Canis lupus familiaris: one gene and its partner. The protein of the gene in region 1 binds, or shares a complex with, the protein of each later gene. Links are inferred from orthologs where the notes say so. Each region holds a gene or a part of one and is shown in the gene's direction. Other genes may lie near its edges.

Region 1 (8,265 bases):
TTAGGATGAAGCTTATGTGGTTCCTGGTCAAGATGGGAACCGATGAAGCTGCAGGACATGGTGGGGCAGGGCCACTCCACATTACTGCTTAGTGTCTCCCTGTGAGGGGGCAGGGTACAATCTCATGGGTACTTAAAACAGTTGGGGGTGGAAGGTCACTCCCTGGGGCTCAGCCTCTTTTAGGCACCCAGTTTCCCATAAGAATTGAGAGGAGTATGAATTGATATTCAGTAAAAGACCATTTCTACAGCCTGATTCACACCTGGAAAGCTTTGGATGGACCAGGGAGGAGGGTGTTGGGTACATCTGTGTCTGGATGGTGCCAGCTCCCCCGCCTGACTCTTGAATGGCCAACTAAGTAACCACAAAGTATAAGGCCATGTCCAGTCCAGAATTCCCTGGCTTCCTGCCAACGAAGCAAACATTCAAGAAACCCAGAGCTTAGGGGAAAACAGGCTTCCTTTACAAATCCCAGAGCTGGTCAACCTCAAGTTTCCTCTCAGGACAAGTTTCTATGGGGTCATATCCCAGGCGGATGAGAAGAGGGACAGGAAAAAGCCAAGGAAGAAAATGGACAGTTGGTCTCCCCAACCCAGAGGCTTCTCCTGAGCTGACCCCTGAGAGGAGGAGCATGCCTTCTCTCCTTAAGGCACTCAGGTCAGGGTAGAGGCAAACTTTACTGGTCCAATGCCTGGGACTGCTGGAGACAAGGCCAAGGGTGGTGGAGGCCCAGGCCTGCAAGCACTGGGGTATTCCCTGCCCCCAACCCTGACCTCCCTGCCGTCGTCTCAGGTCTGGGCAGCAGCAGAACCCAGTGTGGGAACCAGCAGACCCGGTGATGTCCCTGGAGATCCCTCTGCTGCCTTCCCTTATTCTCTGTGAGTTTTGAGAGGTTCATTTGCTGTTTCCCTAAAAAGTGATGGAGAGAAGAGAAGGATTATTCTACAGGCAGCTTAACAGTCCCTGAAACTGGTTCTCTCTAGCCCTTTTAAGGGCTGAGGTGGACTCAGAAAGGCCACACTACAATCTAGACCTCTCTACTGAGTTCCCACAGCCCACTTGGTCTCCCACCTTTCTCCTGCTGACATGTTATTCCTCCTGGTTCCTCACCTTATGGAGTGCCTACCTTTTCCCAGTTGCCCAGGTTCTGGGCAGTGGCAGGCAGCCTCCTAACTGGCCTCTTGCCTTCTCTACTGGACCCCTTCATCTTCTTGCCATAAAGCGGCAGTTATAAAGGCAAGTTAGATCAGACCATAGCCTTGCTGAGTCCTTTAATAGCTTCCTGAGATTTAAGGTCAGGTTTCCTGGTCCCTCCATGCCTTCACGTTTGAGCTATAGTGTCACAGCCTTGTCTATCCTTCCAATGTGATACCCTTGTTCTTCCCCTGGGTCTTGTTCTATCCATTCTCTCTGCCTGGTACACTTAAGCACTCCCTAGCCTTTGCCCTTGGCTTAGCTGTCTGTTTTGGGAGAAAACTGACTGCCCTCACCCCCTGCTCTACTGCCCTTTCCTTTTATTATTTTTTATTTTTTTGCTGTCCTCCTTTTTAAATCTTGGGCTCCCCCTGTAAAGGGCCTGGGTTCCTTTTCTCTGGACCTAGTGTGGCCCCTGTCATGGTAGGAGCTCAGAAATTGGTTGAATGAATGCTCTTGATTAGGGAGTTGATGTTTTACAGATGAGGCGGCTGACCCTGATGAGGCCAGTCAATGCAATAAGGACAAAGGCTGGGCAGCCCGGGTGGCTCAGCGGTTTAGCGCCGCCTTCAGCCCAGGGTGTGATCCTAGACACCCAGGATCAAGTCCCATGTCAGGCTCCCTGCATGGAGCCTGCTTCTCCCTCTGCCTGTGTCTCTCATGAATAAATAAAACCTTAAAAAAAAAAAAAAGGACAAAGCCTCCTGCCTTTCTAAATTGAGGGGCTTGCAGTAGAGTTGAACTCAACAGACCTGCTACTTTATCTCTGAGATTTTGACAGTAGCACCACCAGCCCCACAGGTTGCTGAATAGCCTATCAATGGGCTGTTAAATTGGTATCATTCGAAGCCTGAGCTCCACTTGCAAGCCTTTGAGCTTGCTGCAAAGGCCACTAAACTGGTGGACTCCTGCCCTGAGAACTTCCTAGCCCTGTCCCTGTTCCCAGCATAGATGTGTCTTCTGCCTGCCAAGCATGGGGTTGACATGGGCACAGATTTACTTACCACGAAGTGAAATGCGTGGAGCCATCAGGTGTGGATCCGTTCTGGCCGCCCAGACCTGGGGGCAGGAACACATCCAGAGCTGCAGCAGGCTTGGGGTGGGAATCTGAGCAGGTATCAGCCCAGATCAAGTTAAAGGCCAGTGATGTTGTTTGATGGAGTCTTGTGGGGGCCTTAAAGGGACTAGTGGTATTGTCTGATGGAGGTTCAAGGGAGCGGTTAAAATGTGATGGGTGGTCCGGGATTTCTGGCATGAAATGGTATGTTGGCATGGGTCAGGGTAGAGCATAAAGTTGTGATGAGGTTCTTAGGAGACCAGTGGTAGTCTAGGGAGTTCTGGGGAGCCCAATGATGCAGTCCGGTGGGGATGGGGAGCCTCACCTGGGCGGTGATACAGCCCTGTTACCGTGCTCCCGTAGAACCCCCACGCCAGCTGGATGCCCAGGAGACTTATCACCAACCACAGTAGCAGCAGCTTGAAGAGGGTAACGCGCATGTCCTGCGCCTCCCACTCCCGCAGGAACTCGCTGCCCAGGGTGCCCAGTGTGCCCAGCACCAAGGTCGGCAGAGACTGCAAGGACTGCCCAGACCAAGGCTCCGCCATGACTGGCCCATGCCCCACCCGGGACTGTCACTATAGCACCCACTGCGCAGGCGTCTGGTCTTCCGGGCCAGGCCCGTTAATGCGCACGCGTAAACCAGGCAAGGCGAGTCTACTTCGCTTGCGCGAAGAGTTGGCAGTTTGGGGAGGAGTACTAAAACCGCGCACGCGCACCTAGCCCCACCCTGCTTACTTAAACGATGAGTGAGACGAGGAGCATAAAATAGCAACCAGGTCTTTTATAGCCCCGGAGTTCCCGTGATGCCCCACGCGGCTGCAGTGATTGGTTAAGCGCCCTGCTATTAGGGCGTGGACGCGCTCCTGAGCAATCGTGGCTGAGCTGTAAGTGTGCGCGCGTGCGCGGGGCCGCGGCTGGGGCCGGCTCGAGCCCGCTGGCACACGGGGGCGCGCACGTCGCTCCCCGCCCTCCCGCCGCCGACCGCCCTCGCTCGCGCTCCCCGCCCGCCGCCCGCCGTCCTCCGTCGGTTCTCTCGTTAGTTCGCCGTGGTCTTCTCAGCCACCCGCCCCAGTCTCCGAGCTTCCGACTCGCGGACAGGCGCACTCGGCGCAGAGAGGCCGGACTGCGAGTCGTCGCCTGAGGTGAGCCGAGAGGGTTCTCTCCTGGCGCCGCGGCGCCCCGGGCCCGCCCGCCGCTCTTCCGGCCTCCCGCCCGCCCGCCGCCCCGCCGCGGCCGCGCCCCACCTGCTGCTCTCAACCGGCTGCCCCTGGGCCCCGGCCCCAGCCTTCTGGCCGGGGCCCCGCTCCCCAAAGCGACGGCCCCGCCCGCGCAGTCCCCGGAAGCGCGCCCCGCGGCCTCCCGCGCCCCTTCCCCCGCCCGGCCAGGCCTGGTGGAGCCCAAGACGCCCGCCCGCGGTCCCTGGCTCTTCCTCTCTCACGGCCGTGCGGGGCAGGGCGGGGGCTTCGAGCTGGGCCCGGCGACCGCGCGGTGCAGCGGGTCCCTGCGAAGCGCGCGTGGCTGTCGGGAGTTGAAATGGGAAAGAAACTCTTTACAACTCCATCTTGGCTTTTGCATTGAATATGAAACATGAATCACCGTTTTATACGGTGTGAAGTCCAGATATGTTTTGGGTAGATTTTCTTTTTAAATGCAGTAGTTTCGGAGATTGTGTAAGTAAAGTAGTGTTGAAATCTTACGGGTTAGGATTCTTGGGTATTGAGAAGGGAATTTTCCAGTTGAAAACACTTTTTCATGATTTAAACTCTATTGCATTGAAATAGAGTATTAATTTGCAACTTTGCTTAGTCTAAGTTATTACCTTGATTGGAATCCCCTAAACATCTGTCTTTAGTTACCGATTGAACCCAGTTACAAGCTGTCTTTATTAAATAGCACTGTTTGCACTCAAATCGATTTGGTCAAGACAATGTGCAGTAGTTTATGGTGGAAAATTGGTATCCTTTTTTATCACAGTGTTTTCCACTTGTGTTTTTTTAATGGTCCTGATTTAAAGTTTTTACCAATATTGGTGATATGTTTCCTTCTTTTGGTGTTTGTCTTTGAAGTAAATGTTTTTTTATTCAGGTATGCATTTTATAGCCCTCCCTGCCAGATCTGAAGGGGAAAAATACTTAAAATTCTTTAAAATGTTATTTGTGGTGAGAATTTTTCAGTCATTTAATTTTTCAACCACTAAATGGTTGAAAATGGTACATATATGTACCATTGCAGGATTGTCACTTTAGACATGGCTAAATTGGTAGAGATACTGGTATGAGCGTTGGGCGTGACATTGTTTGGCCTGAAAGTACAAGACTAATTCTTAATTGTGAAGGAAAACTTAAAGATCTTTTGATAAATTGTTTTTTTGGTAGTTCCATCTACTTTTGTAGATGAGTGGTGGCCCTTGGGAAGCTAACAAAATAGAAGAAAACTCACTTTGAGTCAGAGTCTAGGCTTAGAGTTATGGCTTCTTTTCTCATAAAAAATTTGTACTGGAGGGAAGAAGAGAATAGAAATCCACTGACTTTTTCGTAGATCTAGAATTTTAGACCCAAAGGTATCTTCAGGACTTACGGTCTAACCCTATTTGCAGATGAGGAAACTGAGTCTCAGAGACTTACATAAATTTCCTAAGGTCATTTTTCTGGTCAGGTGCAGGCCAGAACTCTGAGGTATTCTTGTACTCTGAAACAGCTTGCTTAGAGTTAAGTAAAATTCAGGACTTATTTCCAGTATTTTCTTCTTTTACATATTACTGATTTTATATATGTTTTGAGAACCTGAAAAATTCATTTCTAAACAAACTCAGTTCTTTAGCTTTCACTGCGCTCTCCTCCCCGGAACTGGATGGTCCTACAGCAGTTGATTGAAATACATAAATGAATATACAGAGTCCCTGCTTGGCCTAGTTTTAGCTTTAGGTGTTTTGGGGGTTTTGTTCGCTTGTTTGTTTGTTTGTTTTTTTTAGAGATTTATTTAACCATTTGAGAGAGAGCACGAGCATGGGGAGGTTTTGAGGAAGAGAGAGAAACCCTAGCTGACTCCTCCCTGAGCTCGGAGGCCAACTTTGAGCCGAATCTCACAACCTGGAGATCATGATCTGAGCTGAAACCAAGAGTCTGATGCTCGACTGAGTGTACCACCCAGGGGTGTTTGGGTCTTCTTGAGGGAACAACTTCTTCCAATGTGAGGCCCAGACTCCCCTGCTCCAAAGCCCAACATAATTAGGTCAGACCAAGATGTTATAATGTGACTGAGGGCTCTTTTGCCTATTAATTTGAGGTGGGATGGTGAGAAACTGCACATATTAAGTAAATAGTTCTGTGTATGTGTGGCAGTAGTTTTATCGTATTCTCTTGTCCTGGTTGTTCTTAGAGGAGAGTGAAAACAGGTAGATATTGAGGTGGAATTCAAGCTGTGACAGGAGGAGGAGTTGCTACTTTGGGTTGTTTTAGTTCTAGAGCTGAGAGATTTATGTTAACTCTCAGAAGACAGACTGATACTTCAGCTTCTAAGAGAACGAATTTGGGCTTGCTGAGCTTCTCTAGACAACACTTTGGGTTTAATTGTATTTGGCTGCTAGTGATAATGATAAATGGTACATAATCACTGGATTTTAATCACATATATTTGTACTTTAAAAGGTACTTAAAAGTTATTTTACCTTCCTGTAGCACTTAGTTTTTAGTCTTTCATGTCCCTGGCTAGAGGAATTTTGTTTGCACCTACATATTAATGTAACTAAATTTTAAACATGTGTGTTAATGTGTCTTACTATACTGTGCTCTTTGGGGATATGCTCACTGTTAAGTACTTGTGAGATTAATAAATTAAAATTTCCAAGACAGTTTGAAGTTAATAATTACTGTAAAATTCCTATTTCAAGTGTTTCTATTTCAAATGACTCATTTTTGATCTGTGGTGCTATAGTATTATGTGAAGGCCCTGTATACTCATAATTATGGTAGTCATGTGACAGAAAAATCAGCCGTCGAAGCTGCTCATTCTGGGTGTTGGTCTGAATTTATTGGTGCTTCCTCTAGAGGACTGTGAATAATATTTTATAGTTAAAGTGGTCAAAATACGAGATACACTCAATTATATTGCAGCCGGTTTGCAGTTTGTCCCAAAATGAGCTTGTTTTGTTTTTAATGAAGAGAGTGGGTAAAGTAAATATGTTAAAGAATGTTTATAATAGTGTCTCACTATTCAGGTGAAGGTAAAGAGGAGAACATAAGTGACCAAAATATTTGGAGTGGAGTAAAGGTAGAAGTGGAATGTAAAATGAAATTAGAGAGGTGGGTGGGAACCAGATCATGTCGGGCCTTTAGGATATGGGAAGTTCTTTGGGATTATTCTGAGATGAGAAATCATTAGATGTTTTTTAGCAGGAGAATAATTTGATCTGATGTTAAATAACTAGAATCACTCACCAAGAGTAGGGGTAGATCTGAGTTCATTCTGACTTTTTTTTTTTCTCCAAAGATTTTTATTTATTCGAGAGAGAGAGACAGAGACATAGGCAGAGAGAGAAGCAGGCTCCATACAGGGAACCCAATGTGGAACTCGATCCCGGGACTCCAGGATCACACCCTGGGCAGAAGGCAGACGCTTAACCACTGAGCCACCCAGGTGTCCCTCATTCTGACTTTAAATAGTAAACTAATATTGATCATTTCTGACAAAAACATTATAAGCATTTCCTAATACTATTTTCCTTGACCTAATGACTTCACCCTGATTTTTGATTTTCTGAGTTTGTAATTTCTCTGTAATGCCTATATTAATAAGAATGTATAATTAAATAAAGCAAGTTATTCAAATGTTTGTGGTAGTCTAGGTGGTAGGTTACAGGTGTACATTGTAAGATTCCTTTAATTTAGCTGTATGTTTGAAAAGTTTTATAATTTTGGAAAATTAATTTACATAGGATTCATTTGCTTTTAAAAGGGAAATATTTAGAAAATATTCATAAGATATCATTGGTTGTGAATATTAACTGAAGGAAGCTAAGCTTGTATAAATGTGATAAATTTGGTGGTATATTAGTCAGAAATTAAATTCTACACTTTTTCTCTCTCTTGGATTCTAAATTATGTCTTGGAACTTTGGGCAAGCCTGTTTACATCCTATGTTTTGTGTTGTTCCTTGTAAAATGAATAGACATAATTCCTGATATATTTATATTTTTACAGTGCCTACATCTGAGAAGTTAAAGGCACTTGTAGAACTTCTGCCACACAGCCCGTGGGTCTTGCAGCACATTTGTAAGGTATGTAAATAGAAACTTTTTTTACTCCCTTTTTCCCATGGAAGACATGATTATATATTAATGTAAGTTCTAGGGAAATGTGAGTGCATTATTGTTAATGATTCTCTTTAGTAATCTTGAGAGGTTTTTTTTTTTTTTTAATTTTTATTTATTTATGATAGTCACAGAGAGAGAGAGAGGCAGAGACACAGGCAGAGGGAGAAGCAGGCTCCATGAACTGGGAGCCCGACGTGGGATTCGATCCCAGGTCTCCAGGATCGCGCCCTGGGCCAAAGGCAGGCGCCAAACCACTGCGCCATCCCTTGAGAGTTTTTTTTAATCTTACTCCATACGTTTTCTCTCTGGTCTTCTTATCTCTCTATGAAGTATTCCTCTAGCTTCTTTTTTCACTTCTAAGTCTGCCTGCTTTCCTTCCGAGAAGGGTGGGGAGGGGCAAAAGGAGAGAGAAACCCCAAGCAGGCTCCACGCCCAGTGCACAGCCCAATGTGGGTCTTGATCCCACAACCCCTAAATGATGGCCTGAGCCAAAACCAAGAATTGGACCCTCAACCAAGCCACCAGGTGCCCTAAGATATTTCTTTTTCAGATGCTATATTTTTTAAGGAGATTCACTGTGTTATACACATACCTCTTTCACTTCTGGGCCATTACTCCATCTGTTTTTCATCTTTAAGTTTTCATTATTTTAATAGTTTGGTTCTTATACAGTTTATCCAGAGCTTGTGCTTTGGATGTA
Region 2 (7,621 bases), on another chromosome or scaffold:
ATAACCAGAAGAGGCATGGGAGAGGAAGGGTAGAAAACAGGATGCGGAGGCCAGCCATTGTGAACCTTGACAACTACATTGAGTGCTCTGGATTTTAAGGATGGCACAGCACCTGGGGCACCTAGGGGGGCTCAGTCAGTCAAGCATCCAACTCTTGATTTTGGCTCAGGTCGTCATCTCAGGGTCATGAGATCGAGCCCCACATCGGGCCTACACTGGACATAGAACCTGCTTAAGATTCTCTCTCTTTCTCTCTCTCTCTCTCTCTTCCCCCCCCCCCCCACTCTGACCCATCCTCTCCCTCCTCCTCCCCTTCTTCTCTTTCCCTCCATGACACACACACCCGCATACTCACAAGATGGGTGGCCCTTGCCCTTGGCTACCCCCTCCCCTTCCCTCTCCAGCTGGCTGAAAATCACAAATGGGAGCCTGTCCCATCTCACAGGTGTACTGGCAGTGGGGAAAGGCTGAGAAGGGTTTCTCTAGCTGCAGAGAACCATTTGAAGTTTTTAAGCTAGGGTGTGACCAGTAAGAACAGATGGCTCTGGCTGAGAGGGTAGAAGGGTTGGAGTGAGAGGAGGCCAGGAAATCATGGCTAGGGTGAAGCCGCTGTAGTAGCCTGGGCTTGAGGCTAAAACGGTTTGGACTAGAACAGTATCAGAGGAATAAAAATAAAGTGGGGACAAATTGAACACCAATAAAAAATAAAGTTATTATTATAAATAAATAAATAAAGTGGGGAGTCAAGAAATACTTCAAACGATTGGCTTGGTTGGTATCAGGGCTAAGAAAAGGGCAGTATTTAGATAATTTCAGTGTTCTTGTCAGAAATCAGAGTCAGGAAGGACCACCACTGGTCACTGCTGCACTCTTCCCCCGCCTTTTTCTTTGTTTGCCAGAGACTATGGGATCAATTTAAAAAGTGGCAGGCTATTTAAGAGGAAGTAACAAGCAGGAAGTTGGAATCTTAAGACTAGAGCTTTGGCAAGAGGGTAGGGAAAGGATGGATTTGAGTGTCAGAGCCGTAGGAACGCATAGCATCTCTCAGGGAGTATTGGTAGAACCAAAGAACAGAGGGCTAATGTCCAGACCTGTGTGGAGACTGTTTGTCAAAAGAAACAGGAGATAGAAATTAAGCCAGAGTTAAAAGTACAGAATCGGTCACGTTCTCTAAGATCTAATTTATTGTCAATTCTCCTGAATGAGCAGTCAGAATGATTTCTCAGAGTTTGACACTGTCGCAGTGACTCTGTCATTGGCTAAGTGGCCTCACAGCATACACTTGCCCATTTAAAATTAAGTCGCTTCTCTTTTTAACAGCCCAAGGAAGTTTCTCATCTGTGAGGTCATTTTTAAAAACTAAAAAACATTTTCTTCTTCAGAAGTATGCATGCTTTCAAGTCATTGAAAGTAAATTTTGTTTTCATTTGACAGATAGAGAGACAGTATAAGCAGGGGGAGTGACAGGCAGAGGGAGAGGGAGAAGCAGGCTACCTGCTTAGCAGGGGACTCGATCTCAGGACCTGAGATCATGACCTGAGCTGAAGGCAGACGTTTAGCCACGGAGCCACCCAGGAGCCCCTGAAAGTCGATCTTACTACAGGGCAGCTTTATTTTCTTCACCACTTAAGGATTCCATGGATTATTATAAATGATAAAATAAATGTTCTGTGTGTCTAATAAGTTGGAAAAAATAACGCCTGTGTTATATACTGTCTGCTTCTGGAAAAAGCAAACTTTTTCAGGGCTTCTTTTCTAGCATAACACAGCTTTTTAACATCCTTTTAAGAAGTTCCTTAAGGGTATCATTCAGGTTACGTGGAGGAAAAAAAAAAAAGAGAGGTAGGCCTGGTATTGGTTATTTAGGAGTGCCTCCTCATTCAGAGGGCTTACATCTTTCCAAGTCTCGTTTAATATTAAATCTGCTCTCGATAGCGCTTTATTTCAGTTTTCAATGCAAAACCAAGAAATGATTGTACGAAATTAATATTTCGACTTTATGTTACTAAAAGGTACTTACTTTTAGAAATAATGGTTAATTCCTCAAACTAATTTAGTCCTGGCAGTCTGCGGGTGCTGTTGTGAATGTGATTTTTTCCTCTCCCTTCCTAAATCTTCCAGTGGGCTTGCTGAAGCAGTTGCTCGTCCAACAGCTGGGTTTGACCGAGAAGAGTGCTCAGGAAGACTGGCCACATTTCCCGAGATACAGGACGGCGTCTTCAGGGGTGCAGACAGACAGTGGAACCCAGAACTCTGAAAACAGTAAGGCCTATCCTCCTGGTGAAGGACAGATGCCCTTTAGAACTGGAACTGGTGACATTTCAACTTGTTACAGTCCACGGACTTCCACTGAATCTTCTGCTCCACGGGATTCAGTGGTCCTGGCATTCCAAGAGAGCCAGGCAAGTAACATTTTAGTAATGGACCACATGATTATGACCCCAGAGATGCCTCCTGCAGAGCCAGAAGGGAGTCTTGATGAGAGTGGAGAGCACTTTTTTGATGCCCGTGAAGCACATAGTGATGATAATCCATCAGAAGGTGATGGAGCAGTTAAGAAGGAAGAGGATGTTAATTTGCGCATCTCAGGCAAGTTTCTTTCACAGTCAAACTTTGATTTTGATTGTTATTAGCTAAGTGATGTGCTGAGATGGATGTTGTTTGGGTACCCACACGTCATCCTCTGTGTGTATGTGTATGTGTAGGGTTTATTCTTTGACGCAGTAAATAATTACTGAATCTGCTCAGTGCCAGACCCCATCCTGAGTGCTGGGAAATACGGCATCGAGTAAAACACAGAAAAAAATCCATTGTCCTTGTGAAGCTTAAGTACTGGTGAGGAAACAGTCATGGTAAATAAGTAAACAGATGTCAGAGGAATTAGGAGGGCACATAAGTCAGACCCAGGGGCAGACAGGGTGATCAGGGAAGAGGGCCTCAGTGAGGTAGCATGAGAGCAAGAGCCACCTGGGGAGTGAGGGAAGAAGCTGTGTGGTGTGCGGGAGCAGGGGGGTCCAGCAGAGAACCAGGGCACCCAGGCTGCCAGCAGGTGCTTGGTAGTGACGGCATGCAGGGGTGAGGGGGGAAGATGGTGGGAGGTGAGGCATGAGAGCTCTGTGGCCGGGGAAGTGGTGGCAGGATCATACGGGGACTTGGTAGTTTCCAGCTTGTAACTTTTAAGATGCTCACTAATGTGAAATTATTCGGAAATATGAAAGTTTGCTAAGTTTAGCTTTTACCTGAAGTGAGAAGACTCTGCTGTACTTAAAACTGAACCTGGGAAGTGGGGAATTGATGGCTTTCCTCCATCTTTAATGGCTTTTAAGGTTGTCAGCATATCACCTCATCTCTCTTTTTTGATGTGAGGATGGCAGCGTGAAGCTCATCAAGCTGTTGTGTCTGTCAACAGGAAACTATTTGATTCTTGATGGCTATGAAGCGGTGCAGGAGAGCTCCACGGACGAGGAGGTTGCTTCCTCGCTTCCCCCGCCGCCCACGGCAGGCATCCCCGCCATGGACTGTGCCCGCCCACAGCAGCACTCTCCCCAGCATGCCCATTCCGATGGGGCGGCTTCACCATTCACCCCAGAATTCCTGGTCCAGCAGCGCTGGGGAGCTATGGAGGATTCCTGTTTTGAGATCCAGAGCCCCCCCTCTTGTGCAGACTCACAAAGCCAGATCATGGAGTACATTCGTAAGATCGAGGCTGACCTAGAACACCTAAAGGTACCTCAGACCTCAGCGTCCTCGTGGCTTGGGTAAAGAAACAGAGAGGAGGGAGGTAGAGGATAGTCAAAATGTTGATGCCGGTGAGCTTGTTCAGGTTCTAGATTTGCTGTTCTCCTTGACCATTACCCATAAGTAGTCTTGGATAGAAAGCTGAGAACAGTATGGTTCAACTGGTTGCAGATCACAAGAACAGAAACACCGTAGGGCTGTAGACTGCCTGCTTGTGTGGGTTTCTCCGTGTAAGAACCCAAGTATATTTGGGATGATTGGCTGGCCTCTGTGAGAAAACGTGAACAGCAAGCCAGTGGCATGGGCAGGGCTCGTGTCTCCTCTAGAAAATGCTTTCACTTATGAATTATCTATGAATTGTTAGGGCGATACAGGTAGTTTCCCAGACACTCTAACACACAGAAATTGGCTCCAGGGGCCCCTGTGATCTGGAGACCGGCGCACGAAAGGATTTTTGTGAATTGGAGTTGAAGTTGTCACTGTACAGGCCACTATTTCAAAGCTGACTTATGTGGTGATTTCTGAGAAAAGGACTTAAAGTTTGTCATCGGTAGACACAGCTGCCAGCACCTAAACATTTTTTTCATGACTTGGTTTAGTTAGAGGCTTAGGGACAACATTAAAAGTGTTCTTAGAAGCCTTTGAGCTGAAGAATGGTCTCCCTTAGTTTTTCATTTAGCTTTATGTGATAGGTTTTCCCTTCTTCATGTGATTATAAGGAGTGTCATCCAAGGGCAGACGAGGTATCTAGAAGGCCATCGTGGGCCAGCTGGCTCTAATGCAGCTCCTGTCCCCCGTGGGGCCGTCTTCAGGGTGCCTCCGGGGGTGGGGGAATCATCTTTAACCTGAAGAAGTTATAGGTTACTCAAGGGAGAGACAGGTAAAAGGAATGCGGTTCACTTTTCTTCCTCACTAACAAAATCTTTAACAACATTCATGTTGAAATCTAGAAGCATGTACTGGCAATATGAAAAGGTTTCTTCCCTGTTTTCATAAAGGAAAATTATGATGTTCAAATGAGAACCCCGTGGGTTTTATCTTACAGAAGGTGGAAGAGAGTTACAGCATTCTTTGCCAAAGGCTGGCTGGATCAGCCCTCACAGACAAGCACTCAGGTATGTGAAAATCGTGGATTCCAGACTCTAGAATCATTCTGCCAACAGTACGTCCAACAGAATGATTTATTATTCTTTAAAGTGGAAACCTTCTGAGATTCCATTTCTTTCCTGTCTTTAAAAAACCACTTGTTTCCAAACATCATATATCAAGCAGAGGCTGTTGTTTGCTGACTCTGCTCTTCCTTTTCTAAGAGAAGCTGTGGTTGTCAGTTCTTGTGCCGTCCTCCCCGGCCCCCTGGCTCCCCACTCCTCCCCTCTACCCACCCCTCTCCTCTACCCACCCCAGGCTTTACTTCACCTTTGCAAAAGCAGAAAACAGGGCAGGGGTAAGCCTGATAAATCCTAGATCCCTGAGACCCTGCCAGTGCTGCCGAGGGAGGCTCTGGGCCCGCCAGGCCTTGCTGGACGTGGGTATCTGTCCTAATAGCGAGAGCGCCATCTCCCCGTGATCGCAAATGGATCTGTGCTCAGTGCAGCAATTTGTACTCTGTTGTTGGCTCACATGGTTTTGAATGAGTGAATGAGGCCTTTCTTTTTTTTTTTTTTTTTTCAAGATTTTATTTATTTACTCACGAGAGACACAGAGAGAGGCAGAGACATAGGCAGAGGGAGAGGCAAGCTTCCTACAGGGAGCCCAATGTGGAACTCGATCCCAGGACCCCGGGATCACGACCTGAGCCAAAGGCAGACGCTCAACCACTGAGCCACCCAGGCGCCCCTTGAATGAGGCCTTTCTAATCCAGAAAGACACACACAACAAGCCCCACAGGTGCCTAGGTATTCTCTATTAGTCTGTTCTTAATTTGATCTCTGCCTATCATTATTCTTCCCAGATAAGAGTTAGAACCACGTGTCCTGGAGGTGACTGAAGGTTGTTGGACTCTGAGCACCGGCCTTGTATCACCCATCCTGGCTGCAGCGTGGACGCAGAGAGAGTGTGTGACGGAGGGTCTGCCTGTGAACCCCCCACCCCAGGGGTCGCCGCGTGCCTGGGCGCCCAGAGCGGGACTAGTTCTTCCAAGTCCGGCAGCTGCACTAGCCTGTCAGTGAGGGAGCCTTGACTCTCTCGCTCTGCGCTCCTCACCATCGGAAATTCATTTTGATTCAGAACAAAAACCAAATGTATAGAGCTTTGGGTGTAGGATATGAAATTTTACTTAGACTTAAGAAGAAGAGAAAAATCAGATGTATTTATTTGACTTCATTCCGTATTTGAAAGCACATTTTAATTTTTATTTTGCCATGTTTTGTTTTAATTGAGTAGTGAGAGTTTTAGCCCTTTGTATTTAGGACACCCAAGGGTCAGTTGCCCCTGAAGCCAAGAGTTCCGGATGAGGTATTGGGAGGCTGGGTAGAGAGGTGGAGAGAGGGTAAGCCGGGGGAGGGAGGAGCATCCAGCCTTCACTGAAGTCTGTCCCGTGGCCCCTGCTGTCCAGTAGGCGTCTTCGTTGAGGAGCACCTCCTTGAAGGCACAGCATGCCCGTGGTTCCTGTGCACAGAGGACTCGAGCTGTGTGCTGCCCAGGTGGGCAGAGTTAGGTGGGCTTCCTCCCACCTGAGGCAAGCACCTCTTCTCTGTAGCTGGGCTCCACCTGCAATTAACAGAAATCCTCAATGTACTAAATAGCAGGCACTTGAAAATGGGTGTGTTTTCTTCTTTTGTCTTTTTTTCTATTGAGGGGAGGGACTTGGGAGGGGGAGGAAAGCAAATTTTATTTTCTTGGCTATAAATTTGTTATTCTTGGTATTGTTTCATTTTTATGATGATACATTAGACTTCGGCACTTGTGGAAAATTATCCCTGCAGATTGAGCAGGAAGGAAGAAAACAAACAAAGATGCTTCAACTGGTGGCAGGGGTGGGGGCTGCTGAGGAGGGGTGGGTTGGGAGCGGGGGCAAGAGTCTAGGAAGGTTATCTAACGGAATCACTACTGAGTTGAACCATGGCTCTCATTAGCCACGGGTACTGCTGAATAGAAGGCCAGTAAAATTTTAGTACCTGGAGGTTTAACTCGAATATTAATTTTGCACTGATGGTGCCAAAGGGCTCTTTGAGTTAAAAGAAGAGCCACGCGTGGAGCGGAGAGAGAGGTGGTGGAGAAGGCAGGGCTGCTCAAACCAGCTCCAGAAGCACTTCCTCTGACTTCGCTGCCGGAGCTTTCTCCACACTGGTGCGTGACCTTACAAATTGCAGACCAGAACATACACTGGAAACTGTGGGCAAGGGGTTGCTGGCTGGCTGCTCTAGAGTGACTTGTAGAATGGGCAGCACCCTGCAGGGGACAGATGTTTCAGAATCGTAACTGGAGAACTCCGTCAGTTACGTTGGCTTTCTGTGGTTTTCCTTGTGCATCGGGTATACACGTCTTGGAGTATTTTTGCCAACTAAAACGAAATCATTGGTCAAATCTTCCAGTTCTGTTAATACGCAACGCGTGTTCCTCCACTGCTCACACCTTTCAGTAGTGCCCTCTGAACCCTGGGGGTAATCGGGATGTGACTTTCCTCTTCCCCGGCACTCTCATCGCAAGTAATGATGATTCCCTACTCCTCCTGTAAACACCACTACGACTTGACAAGCTCATCTCTGTCCACATTCCTATTTCCTGCCTTTTCAAGTCTGACCTGTGTTTTTAAGTAGACCAACTTGGACCATTCGTTGGACCTCATCTATAAATTAGACTGATATTTTGAGTTGCAGGCCCAGCATGAACGAAATCAGAATTGGGTGTAAACATTTTAGAAGCAGAAGCAGAAGCTAGTAAG

What was found.
Region 2: the proteins of RHOA (region 1) and ARHGEF12 are in contact, whole or in part, in a crystal structure (PDB 1X86), measured with the Homo sapiens proteins. The link is inferred for Canis lupus familiaris from reciprocal best matches to the Homo sapiens genes RHOA and ARHGEF12. Residues at the interface, in NP_001300870.1 of Homo sapiens: Arg5, Lys7, Thr19, Lys27, Val33, Tyr34, Pro36, Thr37, Val38, Phe39, Glu40, Asn41, Val43, Asp45, Glu54, Trp58, Asp59, Ala61, Gly62, Gln63, Tyr66, Asp67, Arg68, Leu69, Leu72, Ser73, Asp76, Glu97; in NP_056128.1 of Homo sapiens: Pro766, Asn768, Gln770, Glu790, Val791, Glu794, Thr798, Ala801, Cys888, Gln891, Pro892, Lys899, Arg922, Arg923, Leu924, Gln925, Lys927, Asp928, Pro931, Thr932, Met934, Gln935, Thr938, Lys939, Leu942, Leu943, Asn946, Arg968, Leu971, Asn972.

Annotation. Positions count from the first base shown.
Region 1 is NC_049241.1:40,228,324-40,236,588, forward strand, and holds the start of RHOA (transforming protein RhoA), read left to right. Parts: upstream 1-3,227; 5' UTR 3,228-3,396; intron 3,397-7,452; 5' UTR 7,453-7,529; intron 7,530-8,265. Other genes in the region: TCTA (T-cell leukemia translocation-altered gene protein), read right to left, coding at 870-909, 2,199-2,301, 2,577-2,799. UniProt on the Homo sapiens protein: Small GTPase which cycles between an active GTP-bound and an inactive GDP-bound state.
Region 2 is NC_049226.1:13,546,272-13,553,892, reverse strand, and holds part of ARHGEF12 (rho guanine nucleotide exchange factor 12), read left to right. Parts: intron 1-2,121; coding exon 2,122-2,589; intron 2,590-3,409; coding exon 3,410-3,726; intron 3,727-4,783; coding exon 4,784-4,853; intron 4,854-5,689; coding exon 5,690-5,700; 3' UTR 5,701-7,621. UniProt on the Homo sapiens protein: May play a role in the regulation of RhoA GTPase by guanine nucleotide-binding alpha-12 (GNA12) and alpha-13 (GNA13). Acts as guanine nucleotide exchange factor (GEF) for RhoA GTPase and may act as GTPase-activating protein (GAP) for GNA12 and GNA13.